Daphnia pulex: one gene and its partners. The main gene of each other region encodes a partner of the protein of the gene in region 3 in a complex. Links are inferred from orthologs where the notes say so. Each region holds a gene or a part of one and is shown on either strand. Other genes may lie near its edges.

Region 1 (4,317 bases), on a different chromosome or scaffold from region 3:
CGTCGATGAATGTCGTCTCCTCTTTAATGAAAAACTCGACTGTCTCCTCTTCTAATTCCCCTCCACGGCCTTCAGTTTCATCCGTATCCACGTCTGTGAATTCATTTGTGAGTTAAATCCTGATAAGCTTACTTATTAACTAGGTTTAAGAACTTACTGTTGCGCAATTCGATACGACGGCGACGTTGAGCGTCATAGTCCTCTTGCTTCTGCTTACGCAAGTCTTCATATTCTTGCATCAGTTTGCGGCGTTTTTCTACCAATTCCTGGGTGAAGTTTGAAAATGTCAGATTTTTAGAAAATACTTTCGCCAAAAATTACACATTCAAAAAATATTTACTTTGGAAGCTTTAGTCATTTTCAATCGATCCTTCACTTCGAATTGGGCACTAAATTTCTTCAAAGACTTCTTAATGTCCTTTATTTGTTGGGCTGGAAGTAATGAAGGTGGTCGAGGTCTCCATTGCAGCTGACAGAATTTGTCTAGTGCTACGCGTTTGAGAATGCGTCCTTGGAAGGACCACAACCAGTAGGCATTATCGACCTGTCAAAGTACAAGAGATCAAACATTGTCAAAAATGAATACATTGCTTGATTTTTGTTACCTTGTGACCCCACCAGGAAACAGCAGTTGCGACATACCGACCGGTTGGATCCCACTCCACATCAGTAGCCATGAAGTGTTCGCCCGTATTCATGACGGTAAAATCATGGGTGTCGACAAATTCCAATGTGCCAGACATGGCACGTAGGCCGGCTAACACAATGAACTGGCCTGTTCGATAAAGTATAGTAAGGATTTTAGAATTTTAACATTAAATTTAATGTTTTCTTACCAGAAGGGGCCCAGTACAACTGGTTGCAAGGTTTACGTTCGTATTTTTTAACCATCGTAGGCGTTTGTCCAGTTTTAACTTCGAAGAAAGAAACAGAAGTACTCGGTGGCTCACCGTGGATGACGGCAAACTTAGTACCAACTGGCTCCCACGCAAAAGCTTGAATGGTTTCCTTGATTTCTACCGAGTCGACTGGAATTTGTTTTTCTCGCATGTGGAAAACTTCCAAATTGTAGTAGATACCGCTATCAAAGGGGGGAAAATTAGCTTTTATATCTATTAATTGAAGGAGTGGCATCTCATTACCTGTATTTGATATCGGACTTATCTTTCCTTAATTTGGCATAGCGGTCGACTTTCACACACAAATAGTCACCTGATTTTTGCCAATACATTTTACAGTCGGCAACGCTAAACAAATTTTTGACTCGCACTTCATTGCGACTTGGCAACTCAAGAAGTGTGACGCGAGCAGGAGTATCTTTCTCCTCTCCGACCCAATAAGCAATCGTATTGTCTGTTGGGCTCCAGGCAAAATCTCGAATTCCTTGAACCTATCAAAATGTAAGAGTGCATGTTAGGAAATGGTTATTAGAAGATTTTGTAAATCGTGTACGTTACTTTGATCGACTTCTTGTCTAAAAGGCCAAATGATGGGGTTTCATAAACAGAAAGCATGTCGATTCCCATCCTAGCGAAATACTTGTCATCATGCGACCACTTAAAAATGGGCAGGGCTTGAGATTTATCGGCATTAAAAGCTCGTCGCTTAAGACCGCTCAACACGTCCCAAATGATGATGGCTTGTGGTTCATCAGTTGCTCTTGAATCAGCCAGTGGACTAAAAGATACTAAATACTTCTCACATGGTGAGAAGTCAATGAATTGCACTCCTGGATGACTGAAGCGCACAATTTGTTGAAACTTTTCACCACCCCAAAGAGCTATACCCTTTGCATGGAAAGTGGCTAGATAGGTGCCAAGAGGTGACCACCGCACTAGAGTCTCAGTCCATCTCTGTGAAGATAATTATTGGTCAGATAAAATTTTAATATGAAAAAAAAAAATAATAATAATAATAAAGGTGAAGTGACTCACAGGTCTTTCTTCCAGCAGAGAGGGTTCAGGTTGAGTGTTCAAATAAACAGCAACTTTGTCTCCCTGCTCATACACAACTGAGAATTGGTCACAAGCGTCTTGATCAAGAAGATAGTATTGAAGGCATCCTTGCTCCTTAAACGGCTGAGGAATTGGATTTTCCCACTTATCAAGAATGTCATTATATTTTTCGAAGTCAGTAAGTAAGTTCACAGTGAAGGTGTGATTTTTGTCGAACTTGTAACCATTAGTTCCTTTAAGAACTTCCAATGCTTCATTGGCATTTGAGTACTCTATGAAAACATGGCTTCAAAAGTATATTATGTTAAAATTGGGCTGACACAAAAGTTAAAAAAAAAACTAATAAATTACCCTTTAGTTGATCCATCAGCATTAAGAGGATAATATTCATTAGTTATTTTTCCAAACTTTTGGAATAGTTTTCTCAGGACATTTTGAAGTTTTTCTATCCTCTCAGTACCAACCTGAGGAACACCGTCAATAACAACAATTGATTCGACTCCGTCGGTTTCTTTCGGACGCTGCCTGATGAGGTCACCTATAAGATCTACATTGACAGTTAGCAAGATTCAATGCCGGCATGCTCAGGAAAGCCATATGGCAAAAGGTAAGTTACAAACGGTACCTTCTTCAGAAATATCGTCCTCATAACCTTCCGGATCATCGAAGTTGGGCTCGTCTTCTAATTCATCGTTTGGGTTAGAATCCGAGTCATCGTTATTTTGCTGAGCTCGATCATTTTCTTTTCGTCGAGCCATGATGAAAAACAAGCACTGCACACCGGACACGAGTCTTTAATGGCGGAAGCCTGTGCCAGATTTCAACAAATAATACTACCATCGAGAAGGCCAAGGCAACCACCATCCACCAATCAGGCAATCACCATTCACCAAACACCATAGGTAACTTGGTGACTAGCCTAGCCTGTCAGCTAGAACGGGATCTTCTGAAGGGAAAATAATTTAGATTTTTTATTATTATTATTTTTTCTTGATTTTTATTCGCATTATAATCATACATTGGATTTTTTTTTGTTTTCAGAAAATAGCCTACATTTATTCATTTCCAAAAAAGTTGAATCCTTATACCCATTTGAGGAATGAGTTGGTAATAATTTTTTTAAATATTTTTAAAGTAACGTAATGATATTTTAAAACCATGATAGCGAATATTTTACAAATATGTATTACGCCTAACTATCAGTCATGGCAAATATGCCTACGCAAAAGCACAATTCTAGCAGCCGAATCATCATAACCCGGGAGGGATGAAAACATCACTTAGGCCTATAACCTACGTGAGTTAACGTTGATCGCAAAATTTTGAAGAACCACTACAATTGAAAACTTGTCTTAACATTTAAATATGTATGATTAAAGTTTTAAAGTCGTAAAAATTGCGAATAATCGAGAAGAAGTTGGCCTTTTAAAAGTGTCCGGTTGTCGGTAACATCGAGGAATATAAAATGGACAGCGTATTGGAAGGTTATCTATTTCAGATGCATTCTGGAACGTGCAGCGATATGCTGGAGCAAATCAAGGATATTAAAGATGTTGTATCCAAAACCAAAGACAGTAGGTTTCAAATATTGGTCCCATCAAAAACATGTTAATCAATTCATTTACATTGTATTTTTTCTAAAGATTCTGTTGTCTCGGCTTTACTAAACAAAGAAATTGGATTAATTTCCTTGTTGTCCAAGTTCAGAGATTCTCAAAAGGATGACAACTTTGCAGAAATAATAAATTGTGCCCTGTCAATTTTGGGTGATTTACTGGAAAAATTTGGAGAATCCATGAGCAACCATTTAGTGGTTATTAAAGTATGGAAAATAATTAATATTACCTAGCTATGTGTAAAAACCTAATAGTATAACTTTCATTTACCTTAAGAATTTAGCATTGATGTACATGAACTCCAAAAATTCTAAGATACGAGGAGCTTGTTATTTTGTTCTTTGCCAAGTTGTTATTACTGCTCAAACTTCACCAACAGAAATATTAGAAGAACTGAATTTGCCAGCCCTTTCTAATATGCTTTTTGAAAAAATGGCTACATCTTCTGATGATAGTTCAAGCAAAGGTGATTAATTAAAAAGACTATTGTATAATTACCCTGTTTGTTATGCAGATTGTATTATTACTGTGTATGCATAGATATGTATTTCTATGGTTATTTATAATATTTATGTTTTACTTTAGCGAAAATGAATTTCCTAGTACTCCTAGGCAGACTGGCCCAGTACTTTCCTAGTACACTGAAGGAAAAGGCCAGTCGCATCATTAACCAACTCCTTTATGAACTTGAAAAGGAGGTAACTAAACATTAACGTAAATAATTACGTTCTGTAAAATCAAATAAT
Region 2 (3,303 bases), on a different chromosome or scaffold from region 3:
ATTTGAAACACAGAGTAATGAAGACGCCCACGGAGGAAATGTGGCCAGGCGTTTCAAAAATGCCCGACTATAAACCTACTTTCCCTAATTGGAATACTTACCACCTTCAAAATTCCGTGAAGCAACTTGACTCGATTGGATTTGATCTGCTTCAAAAAACTCTCATTTACGATCCAGCCCTTCGTATCACGGCTCAGGATGCTTTAGATCATGCTTGGTTTACCGATCTGGATAAATCTATCTTACCCACCAATGTGCCTGCTTAATTAAGCATTCCTCATGTAAACGATAGCTACTAAACCTGGCCAACTTCCTGATGGTCGTTTCTTGAAATTCTGTTTTTCGCTTTTCCTAATCATCATTTTTTTTGCTCTCTGAGAGAAGATGGGTGTGATTCTTTTCCTTGGTAGCGAAGAAATTTTCTTCCCCCTTGTGTACGTGTGACTGTATACTATAGTTTCCTAATAAATATGCTCACGAGGACTACATCAGAAAATTGTAATTTAATTGGGAGATGTTCATTTTTATTTTTTATATCAACGTTCTGAATTAAATTGTCAACAATGTGAGTTTTTCGTTCAGCGACAGTTGAGTCTTGGTAAGTTGTGATAGATATAATACCATCAATAAATCCTAAATTAATAAAGTTTTACAAAAATTAGATTAAATAAGTAAATATTGGGTAATGTTTTCTACCTTTCGGTTTGAATTAAGCATCTCTTCAAATTCGTCGGGTGTCATTTTAGGTACCGAATGAACCATATCTAATAGAGAACGACCAAACGTGTTGTCAGCCGTTTTGGAGCCACTCATTACGTCGTCAACATAAGCCAAGATAGTGTCCAGCATGTTTTCCATCTGCTGCGAGGCTTCAACAATCTGAGTAAGATCCGAAGCGATGCCCGCTTGACGTTTAACCGAGGTTTTGGTTTTCTGGCAGGCATTTACTGAAAAACAATCAAAGATTAATTCCCAGTATACATACACATTTTCTATTATAATTACATCCAATAGTTTCTGGGTCATAGCATGCTATCTCAACAGAAACAGGAGCAAACATGCATCCCATAGTTTTGCCTGTGATACCCATTGGGACACTAGATGATAATTTAAAGATAATTATTTTTCAAAGCAATTGTATCATACTGAATTAATAGCATGTACCTGACATAAGCTTTGATTCCCATACGGGTATCTTGCAATGTGGTGTCCACTGTAATGTGAACAGGATTGGAGGACTCTCTGGAGTAGTACTCATGAATAAGAGCAGAGTGAGATGTGACTCCAGTACCAGTTGCCCACCAACCTACAATGCTTTCTTGGGGATTAACTTTACGATGCAAGTCATACATATCCTTGGCAAAGTCCAATTCCACAGCCACTTCTTCTTCTGATTCATTGTGAGGCACACAAAAGCAATTGGTCACTTCCACACCATTTTTATCTGATGTGCCTGGAAAAAATCAATATGAAAAATGAGTTATCACAACTTCGATTTCGCATATTATAGGAATTTAGGTATATAATCCAAAGATTTTGTCAGGTACTCGATACCGATACACGTGTCAACAGTCGAAAAAACAATAAAACGCGAAAGCAAACGGATGATCTAAATTGTATGTTACCAAGCAACGTTCCAATTACTCTCTGTGCATCAGGATTACGACGCTCATAAGAGTCAATAATCTGAAATAATACAACAGGATGCAACTTGACAGTCAGATTGAGAGCCATTTTGCGTGACTTTTTTTGCAGACCACTACCGCATTGGAGCTGAAAAAGCCGACACGAACTAGTTGCCAATTGGTGATATATAATACGTTGAATTATTTCTATTTACCAAACACGTCTCGTTATACATTAAAAAAAATTTAATTTAATAAAATGTACGGTGTACATTGTTTATAAATTTTACACGTCATTTTAATTATTTTTTAAAGACTTCTCACTTCTCAGTCACCAGAGGGCGCGACCAATGCTTTCGCTAGCGTTGGCATAGCTTAGTTGTTCTTGATGGGAAGGGAAGGCTAAAGATGGCGGGTAAAAAAAAATGCTCTCGTTGAATCCTTATTTTCGAAAATTGAAAATCTTTCTTTCTGTATCCATTCCTCAGATTTATTTATGAAGCATCGATGTGGCTACTGTCAGGACGACATCCTTGGCATTCGAATCCGATGTAACGTTTGTGTCGATTACGAACTTTGTTTACAGGTGTGGTATAAAATCTTCGTTGAATGAATCCCTCCCCTTCCTTCTTTGTTGTTTGTTATGACGCCCACCGGAGTGGTATTGCCGGTTGGTCGGCGGCGAATTTGAATTATTTTAATAACACAGTTTTGCAATGTTTCTTTCTAGTGTTTCTCTCTTGGCTGTGAAATTGGACCACATAAAAGTAGTCATGGATATAGATTAATAGTGAGTATTTAAGTTTTTCTATCAAACTCTCAATAAATACTTTATTTTTAATTTCTAGGATCCTGGTACTTTTAGTATTTTTCCTGACCAACAAAGGGAGGATGAAGGTGGCTGGATTGCAAGGGAAGACTATCAGTTACTTGATGCAATAGAACAGTTTGGTTATGGAAATTGGGAAGATGTTGCGAAACATGTAGAAACACGGGATTCAGAAAGTAATTGTTGATTTTTATCAGGATTTTATCATCAGTTACTCTCCAATTATGTTTTTTTTACAGAATGCAAAGAACAGTACTGTGATAGATTTGTCACAGGAACAATAGGTAAACTAACATGGCAAGGGCTTCCAAATGGACTTCTCGCAAGTGGAGAGTCTCGCTTGGCAGCAATTGATCACACTTGTCCAGATAATGCACCTCTATCTCCATCCATCACATCACGACTACCACCTTTAGCTATTCAACCTGAAGAAACATTAGAACTTGGATACATGCCTCAAAGAGATGATTTTGAAAGGGTGGGTCTTAATTTGTCATGAAACAAATTGTCTTAAAAACTTCAACATTATTTTTATTTTTTGTAGGAACATGACAATGAAGCTGAGGCAATTGTTTCTCATCTTGCCATTAATCATGACGACGAGGATATTGATTTGGCTCTAAAACTGGCTCAAGTCGATATGTATACTCGCCGCCTGAGGGAAAGAGCCCGAAGGAAGCGGGTTGCTCGGGATTTTCAACTGGTATCCCAATTTTTTAACGCTATCAAGAAAGAGAAGGAAAAACCTACGACTGCCGCAAAAAAAAGGGAGTCCCAAAAGGAAAAGTAATTCATGTTTCAATTAGTTAACTATAGATTCATTACAAACAGTTACATTTTTTTCCTTGT
Region 3 (3,493 bases):
TCCTCATTGAAACGTCGGAGTCGTCGATCAAGTTGAACATCGTATTTGTAAAGTTCGGATATCTGGCTAATACATCCGGTTGAAAATGAGCCAGCGAACCGATAAATTTCATAAGCCCGGGAACGAGCAGGCGAGGCAAGAGGATCTGCAGGAGCCTCGTCCAAATTACCGGCGAGCTTCTCAATGATTCCTTGTCGCTCGAGATAGTCCCGACCATGTTGGCAAGACGCTAGAGTCGTAATAAGTTCCAATGCGTTCAGCTGGGACAAGAATGTCTCCCATTAAAACTTCTACCAGAAGGAAACTGATGAGCTCTTTCTCTTCGCAAAATGCCAAGTTTTCTTGGGATGCGCAACAGTAGGTGATTAGAATATCGTAAACCCTGTAATGGACTTCGTCAGAAGAAAAAGATTTCAAAAGAATTGTTTGTAAACAATATCAGTTATGTTTTCTCCTCTTAAACAGGCGACTCGAACCTGTTTGTATACGCTTAATTTCGTCTCGTGCCCTCTCTTGAGAAATAAATTTTCCCCCCAAAAAAGATTCTCACTCGAGACCTTTCCAACATGATGTATTCAAATACCTTCTCTTATATCGCCCATGTACACGAAAGTGGTCAAAAAATAAACACAAGACAAGTGTTCATAGATGATGGATTGGGTTCTTCGTAGGTTTTTCGCTTTTCTTCTGGTTTAGTAATCGAATTTAAAGTCAAAGTAAGACTGGTCGAATTGATTCAAACGAACGTAACCATCTTCACCACCACTGGCGTACGTCTTTCCGTCGGGATGGAAGGCCAGAGAATTGATAGGACCGAAATGGCCCTTGACACGAGCGAATTCTTCTTCGAAAACCAGATGGAAGAAACGGGCGTCGAACTTGCCGACACGCGTTGAGGTCGTCGTTACGTCCATGGCATCTTGACCACCTCCCAACACCACCTGAAGATTGAAGGAAAACAGTTAGAATCGATCAACTGAATCATTTAGAAGCTCAAGGATCATACGTGATCCATGATGGGTGAGATGGCGGCACTGTTGACGGGTCGCTCAGTTTTGTAAGTTTTTAGGCACTCTAACGTTTCGGCGTTAAAGAGTTTTGCAGTGCAATCCTTGGATGCAGTGATGAGGAGAGCTCCGTCTTTGGACAGCTGCATGTCGTTGATAGACTTGGCGTGTTCTGAAACCAGGTTGTTCTTCTTGCCAGTTCTGTAGTATAAATAATAAACAGGATTTAGTTTTAAGCACTCAAGGTTACGACAATGTCATTCTCACCTGAGGTCCCATTGGGCCAAGTCACCATTGTCGTGACCAGAAATAACAACCTCATCTAGATTACCCCAAACCATTGATGTGGCTTTAGGGGCATTAGTTAATGGAATTCGCAGGATGGGGTCATTTTCACTGAAGGAAGAGTCAACCGTTCTGACATCAATGATGAAGATCTCTGAAGGGTTACCCATAGTACTGTCTGTTGAGTAAAGGGCCATGTTTCCACTGTAACTGAAGTTGCATGTACGAACTGAAGTCTTGGCTTCAATTTTACCCAAAGCCTTGCCTAAAAAAAAACAAAGAAAAGTTTAAGTCGTAATTACGCAATGGGGTCATTTCTCACTGAACATACCAGTTTGGACATCCCAGATCATGAGCATATTATCACCAGCACCAGACATGAAACGTTTAGTTTCCCAATCAACATCAATCGCCCATACGACACCCTGATGTCCCTCGTAGGTACCCAATCGTTCTCCATTGACTGAATACCAGACACAAGGGTGGTTGTCCTTGGCTGACGAGAAGAGCAAATCTCCATCCCGGTTGTACTTAATTTGCGTGATTGAACGCTCGTGACCGTGAAGCATAAGAGGTTTCTGTGATCAACAATAACAGTGGATTAATATAATGAAATTAAATAACAGAAATGCACTGAAAATTACCATTTTTGTTTATATTAATTGGTCACAACTGTAATAATGACGTACACTTCTTTCGGCGTGGGGCGACTGAGGCCTTTCGACGTTTTTACAACACTCGTCTGCCGGCCCTGCTCGATTTTACAGTGTTGCCACCCACCCACCAAAAAACGAACCATCTTTAATCTTATCAAAACTGTTAAACTTTATACAAAAAAAAAAAAAATTAATTTTTATTCTTTAATCACGCGTAACGTTAAAATGACACTAGCAAAAATAATTTTACTTTTCGATTTGTTTCAGAGGGCGCTACTCGCTAGGGAAGTTAAAGCAGTTTTAACATCGTCTGCTATTCTCATTCAACTATTTTGGCGGGTTCCCTCACATTGCGTGTTCCTTCACATTGCGTGTGTCTCGTGGAACACAATTACCAAAATTATTTATCTAGAATGGTGAATTTGGTTTTAAATAATGTTCCCATTGAATTTCCATTCCAGCCTTATGATGTACAAGAGAAATTCATGGAGCGTGTGATAGAATGTCTTCAAAAAGTAACTAGTGTTGCGTTATCGGTCAGTGGACACCTTGCTCTTATTTTGTTATTCTTGATTAAATAGGGTGTAAATGGTTTGTTGGAATCTCCTACTGGCACAGGAAAAACTTTGTGCTTACTTTGTTCGACATTGGGTTGGTTAGCAACACGAAAAGCACAAATACAGTCTGGTCAATTAGCTGGAGATATGGGAGTGGATATTAAAAATCAATTAAGTAATGCAACTGGGCTTGGATGGGGAGATGCTGCTACTCCTGGAGCTGGAGTACCCAAAATCATTTATGCATCCAGAACTCATTCTCAGCTCAGCCAGGTCATTTCTGAATTAAAACGGTCCTCTTACAGATATATGAAGGTGAGCATTTCCTTCTTCCATTAAAGCTATTTGCCTACATGAAATGGGTTTTGATAACCCTTATTTTATTTTTCTTCATTTAAGGTATGCATCCTTGGATCTCGTGACCAACTGTGCATTCATCCAGAAGTGTCAAAGGAAACAAACAATGCTGTAAAGCTTCACATGTGCCATGCTAGAACTACTACTCGTACTTGCTACTTCCACACAAATCTAGATGCTAAGAAAGAGGAACCAGACTTCAAAATGGATGTATTGGATATTGAAGACTTGGTGACTTTGGGGAAAAAACATTCTGCTTGCCCTTATTTTATGACAAAAGAAATTCGTAAGGTAGCTGACATCATCTTTATGCCATACAACTACCTTCTTGATCCTAAAGTGAGAAAAATTCACAACATTGAACTCCAGGTAATTCCCAGTACATTTAGTAGTCTTTAAAGGTGCATGAAATATTAACTTCTTTTTTTGTGCTTGTTTAGGGAAATATTGTTATATTTGATGAGGCCCACAATGTTGAGAAAATGTGTGAAGAATCTTCATCTATTGAACTTAGAAGTTTAGATATAGCCCTTTGTGTTGATGAAGTCACCCAGGTAAACGACATCCTTTTTATTATGTGGTGTATATTCTTCTAGCGTTCTTTTTACTCCAGGTCATGAAAAAATTCCGA
Region 4 (3,506 bases), on a different chromosome or scaffold from region 3:
TTCAACCTTCGCAACAGGCTTCATATGGACCGAAACACACCTGCTGGTAACTAACCGGATTTCTGCGGCTTTCTCAGTTGCTTCTTCAATGGGAGAGATGATATTCCCAACGGTACGTTAAATTTAAATGCTAATGATTTCCACTACGTATTTATAACCCGTCTGTTTTGTTTACCGTGTTGATACAGGTAACAGGCGCATTGATCGAGTCGAATCCACTTTCCCTGATGTACATAGTTCTAGGATGCACCATTTTTATCACGACAGTCTTTTTTGTAGCCTGGTACCTGGCAAAACGTAAAGGACGAGGCTTTAGCAGTAACAGCAGGGGCTATCATCTTGCACGTCAAGCCGAGGATGAATCAGCGCAAAACTAGATAACTTTACTTTTTTTTCACTTAAAAATAATGTTTAGGTGAGGTAATCCTCATTCCCTTGATGTTTAGCTTAGAAAGACAAAAGAGAAAGGTGAAAATTCGGTTCATGTCTGTGATAGAGGGTTGAAGAGCTTGATTGGAATCCATTTGCGTGTATTTTTTTTATCCCTTTACATGATCGTAGCATCCAATATTTGATGAAGGAATTTTAGGCTTTTTTCACTGTGTTCCCGATGGTCTGTTAAACGATTGAAAAGAGAAAGATCAGTTTCATTTGACTCGTCAATTTAAAGAACTAAATTGTTAAAAAATAAAATTTTAAAAATTCCAGTCATGAATTTCAAATTCAGCTCACAACTATTTTGAATGAAATTAAGTGAATTGAGAGCTAACTTACTTAGACCATTCGACAGTCAGGATAAGATGGTCGTAACCAAAACCATTCAAGGTCTTGATAGCTCGTTCGGCGTCTTCTCGTCGTTTGTAGCTGACAAATGCAAAACCTCTGGATTGGCCAGTGTTTTTGTCCTAAAATTCAGTTTGAAGCGGTGCCATAATTTTTACAAAATGATAATTAGTGAATAAATTTGAGTCTAACCTTTGAGAGGAAGATGCGTGAGATTTCGCCAATACGGCCGAACAATTCTTGAAGATCGGAATCGCGAGCGTTTTCCGAGAGGTTGGTTACTCGTACAGTGCACCCTTCATCAGCTGTTATCGGGAAAGAAAAGGGTAATCATTAAATAATGTTTTTCCTATGTATGTTTTCTATTACTTCTCCGGTGGTTTTAATAATATGAAATAAACTACTATGAAGAAACTGTATCTTACTTCGTCGACCCATAGCCATAGTCTCTCCTTTTCTGTTGCCACCATCACGAAGTGCAGGTGCAATATAGGCGCTTCCTTCTTTACCACCCTTGGCTTGCGGTCCTCCAGCAGCAGCTGCGGCAGGAGGCGGGCCGGCCTTCTTCTCCTCAGCCTTAATTAAAGAGATATAGAGCAAAATTAGCAAGAGTTCAATTCAAAATAAAGAAAATGTGTTTACCTTATTGAGTGCTTCTTGGACAGGCAAAAGTGTGTCCTTGTAAGGACACTGTGTTGTCCAATGGTCCTCTTTACAGATACGACACTTAACAATGCCCTTCTGCATGCTTTTTAACTTCATAAGAGGGTCATCTTCCTTGTTATCAGGATCCTCTTTGTTCGTAATAAACTGTCAAAGTAAAAATGGTAATTAGCATCCAACGGTTTTGATAGATCAACTGAGAAAAGAAATACCTGCATGGCTACATCTTCAGATACAATTGTTGTTGCAGGGTTTGGTCCTGGTTTATCTTCCTTGGAAAGACCAAATTTTGGCCAACTTTTACGCTGGGCAATGGCTTTAGCTACATACCTTTTCTCTATTTTGTAAGTACGCACCACCTTGAACTTCCTGTTATCATCATCAAGACCATACTCTGTGACAATTTTCAGCCCATTTTTGTATTCTTCAGTGTTAGGGGGTAAACCGAGACCTAAGGAATAATACCGGCATGATTAAAGAAAATCTTACATTAATTACGGGGAAGCGGCATTACTAACCATCGATATCCTCAACGTCATCGGCCCAACTGGATTTAACTCTGAAATCATATCAAGATTGTGTTGTATTTTTAATATTTGCACATTAATTTGTCTCATTTCACTTACTCATTATCAGCAACCGGCATTTTTCTTGGAGAAGATTGATTACGTCAAGTAAATAATCAAAAAGTAGAAAATTCACTGCTATTGCAGAAATGTGTCAGCAAGCAGCCATTAGAACGTGTGTAGAGCGACATTGCCAGTTTTGAAAAATTCATTTCGTAATTTTGACTGCTTTTACAATTTCGTCTGCTCTTCTTCGAATACAATCCCGCCGTTTATGAGATTCCGGCACGTGGAACTCGAATACAGCAAAAATGGCTAGCTTACCACAGAAAAAATATTATCGACAAAGAGCACACTCCAATCCTATCGCAGATCACTGTTTTGACTAGTGAGTATCTTATTTCCAGTTTTCGATTTATCATTAAGTCATTTTCTAACCCAATTTGTCGTTTGAAGTCCTGTCTCTCCCAATGACATGAAATGGGATGAGCTCTATCCTACATTCAGCAAAGATGGAATAATGAAACACAAAGTTCAGTTTGCTGATATTGGATGTGGCTATGGCGGTTTATTGAGTATTTTTATCACATTTTGCCAATAAAATATGTGGAAAATTAATTTTGTATTTTTTTTTAACAGTATCATTATCCACCATGTTCCCAGAGACTTTAATGTTAGGAATGGAGATTCGTTTGAAAGTTTCAGAATATGTCCAGGATCGCATAAAGGCGTTGAGGATTTTGCATCCAGGTGATTACGGAAATGTTGCCTGCTTAAGAAGCAATGCCATGAAGTACTTACATTTATTTTGTTCATTTACTTGGGCATGTTTGCTTAATTTATTCTATGCTACTAGGTACCTCCCTTGCTTTTTCGATAAAGGACAATTGACAAAAATGTTTTTCCTCTTCCCTGATCCTCATTTTAAGAAGGCCAAACACAAGTGGCGTATTATCAATGACACTCTCTTGGCTGAATATGCCTATGTTTTGGCTGAAGGGGTAAGTAGGCAGGCCTAGAACGGCCCTTCTTTAGCTACTTGATGTAGATATCTTGTGTGATTAATTAAATTTTACTTTAGGGTTTGGTTTACACAATTACTGATGTTAAAGATCTTCATGAATGGATGGTTATGCATCTAGACCAACATCCATTATTTAAGAGACTAACCCAGGAAGAGCTGGTTAGTTATACTTTATAATTAAATAGCTATAAAACTACAAATTCTTTTTGCGGTATCAGGATCAAGACATTGTAGTTCCAAAACTGTACGAATCAACGGAGGAGGGCAAAAAAGTCACGCGAAATAGTGGTGATAAATTTCTTGCTGTATTCAGAAGAATTCCTGATCCATTCGTACTTGAAGAAAACAAGTGCTAATGTATACAAATTTGTTTGCCGGTTCCCTGCTCGTCACTTGTATTGCTCCCAATGGAACTGTTTGCTGGAATTCACATAATCAACCAGCTTTAAGCTGCCATTCAAAATAGGTGA

What was found.
Region 1: eukaryotic translation initiation factor 3 subunit I-like (region 3) and eukaryotic translation initiation factor 3 subunit B-like share a complex: the UniProt entries of both Caenorhabditis elegans proteins name them as parts of the eukaryotic translation initiation factor 3 (eIF-3) complex. The link is inferred for Daphnia pulex from reciprocal best matches to the Caenorhabditis elegans genes eif-3.I and eif-3.B.
Region 2: eukaryotic translation initiation factor 3 subunit I-like (region 3) and eukaryotic translation initiation factor 3 subunit F-like share a complex: the UniProt entries of both Caenorhabditis elegans proteins name them as parts of the eukaryotic translation initiation factor 3 (eIF-3) complex. The link is inferred for Daphnia pulex from reciprocal best matches to the Caenorhabditis elegans genes eif-3.I and eif-3.F.
Region 4: eukaryotic translation initiation factor 3 subunit I-like (region 3) and eukaryotic translation initiation factor 3 subunit G-like share a complex: the UniProt entries of both Caenorhabditis elegans proteins name them as parts of the eukaryotic translation initiation factor 3 (eIF-3) complex. The link is inferred for Daphnia pulex from reciprocal best matches to the Caenorhabditis elegans genes eif-3.I and eif-3.G.

What each region holds. Positions count from the first base shown.
Region 1 is NC_060026.1:9,963,258-9,967,574, forward strand, and holds the start of eukaryotic translation initiation factor 3 subunit B-like, read right to left. Parts: upstream 2,839-4,317; 5' UTR 2,714-2,838; coding exon 2,581-2,713; intron 2,503-2,580; coding exon 2,307-2,502; intron 2,242-2,306; coding exon 1,935-2,241; intron 1,854-1,934; coding exon 1,458-1,853; intron 1,391-1,457; coding exon 1,143-1,390; intron 1,082-1,142; coding exon 837-1,081; intron 776-836; coding exon 606-775; intron 545-605; coding exon 341-544; intron 267-340; coding exon 158-266; intron 94-157; coding exon 1-93. Other genes in the region: DNA-dependent protein kinase catalytic subunit-like, read left to right, coding at 3,421-3,529, 3,599-3,777, 3,848-4,037, 4,157-4,269. UniProt on the Caenorhabditis elegans protein: RNA-binding component of the eukaryotic translation initiation factor 3 (eIF-3) complex, which is involved in protein synthesis of a specialized repertoire of mRNAs and, together with other initiation factors, stimulates binding of mRNA and methionyl-tRNAi to the 40S ribosome.
Region 2 is NC_060026.1:11,480,303-11,483,605, forward strand, and holds eukaryotic translation initiation factor 3 subunit F-like, read right to left. Parts: upstream 1,787-3,303; 5' UTR 1,735-1,786; coding exon 1,626-1,734; intron 1,454-1,625; coding exon 1,165-1,453; intron 1,098-1,164; coding exon 1,006-1,097; intron 948-1,005; coding exon 697-947; intron 634-696; coding exon 550-633; 3' UTR 503-549; downstream 1-502. Other genes in the region: cyclin-dependent kinase 1-like, read left to right, coding at 14-266; transcriptional adapter 2-beta-like, read left to right, coding at 2,034-2,040, 2,114-2,211, 2,356-2,415, 2,474-2,630, 2,694-2,932, 2,999-3,240. UniProt on the Caenorhabditis elegans protein: Component of the eukaryotic translation initiation factor 3 (eIF-3) complex, which is involved in protein synthesis of a specialized repertoire of mRNAs and, together with other initiation factors, stimulates binding of mRNA and methionyl-tRNAi to the 40S ribosome.
Region 3 is NC_060019.1:6,193,238-6,196,730, forward strand, and holds eukaryotic translation initiation factor 3 subunit I-like, read right to left. Parts: upstream 2,087-3,493; 5' UTR 1,940-2,086; coding exon 1,937-1,939; intron 1,871-1,936; coding exon 1,624-1,870; intron 1,558-1,623; coding exon 1,275-1,557; intron 1,209-1,274; coding exon 1,007-1,208; intron 942-1,006; coding exon 693-941; 3' UTR 555-692; downstream 1-554. Other genes in the region: regulator of telomere elongation helicase 1 homolog, read left to right, coding at 2,362-2,463, 2,530-2,820, 2,905-3,231, 3,303-3,416, 3,476-3,493. UniProt on the Caenorhabditis elegans protein: Component of the eukaryotic translation initiation factor 3 (eIF-3) complex, which is involved in protein synthesis of a specialized repertoire of mRNAs and, together with other initiation factors, stimulates binding of mRNA and methionyl-tRNAi to the 40S ribosome.
Region 4 is NC_060023.1:11,177,271-11,180,776, forward strand, and holds eukaryotic translation initiation factor 3 subunit G-like, read right to left. Parts: upstream 2,210-3,506; 5' UTR 2,093-2,209; coding exon 2,073-2,092; intron 2,006-2,072; coding exon 1,965-2,005; intron 1,898-1,964; coding exon 1,659-1,897; intron 1,594-1,658; coding exon 1,426-1,593; intron 1,360-1,425; coding exon 1,209-1,359; intron 1,198-1,208; exon of another isoform or gene 1,089-1,197; coding exon 976-1,088; exon of another isoform or gene 906-975; coding exon 775-905; exon of another isoform or gene 616-774; coding exon 597-615; 3' UTR 514-596; downstream 1-513. Other genes in the region: flocculation protein FLO11-like, read left to right, coding at 1-112, 189-377; tRNA (guanine-N(7)-)-methyltransferase-like, read left to right, coding at 2,324-2,400, 2,469-2,587, 2,652-2,805, 2,869-3,013, 3,094-3,195, 3,255-3,392. UniProt on the Caenorhabditis elegans protein: RNA-binding component of the eukaryotic translation initiation factor 3 (eIF-3) complex, which is involved in protein synthesis of a specialized repertoire of mRNAs and, together with other initiation factors, stimulates binding of mRNA and methionyl-tRNAi to the 40S ribosome.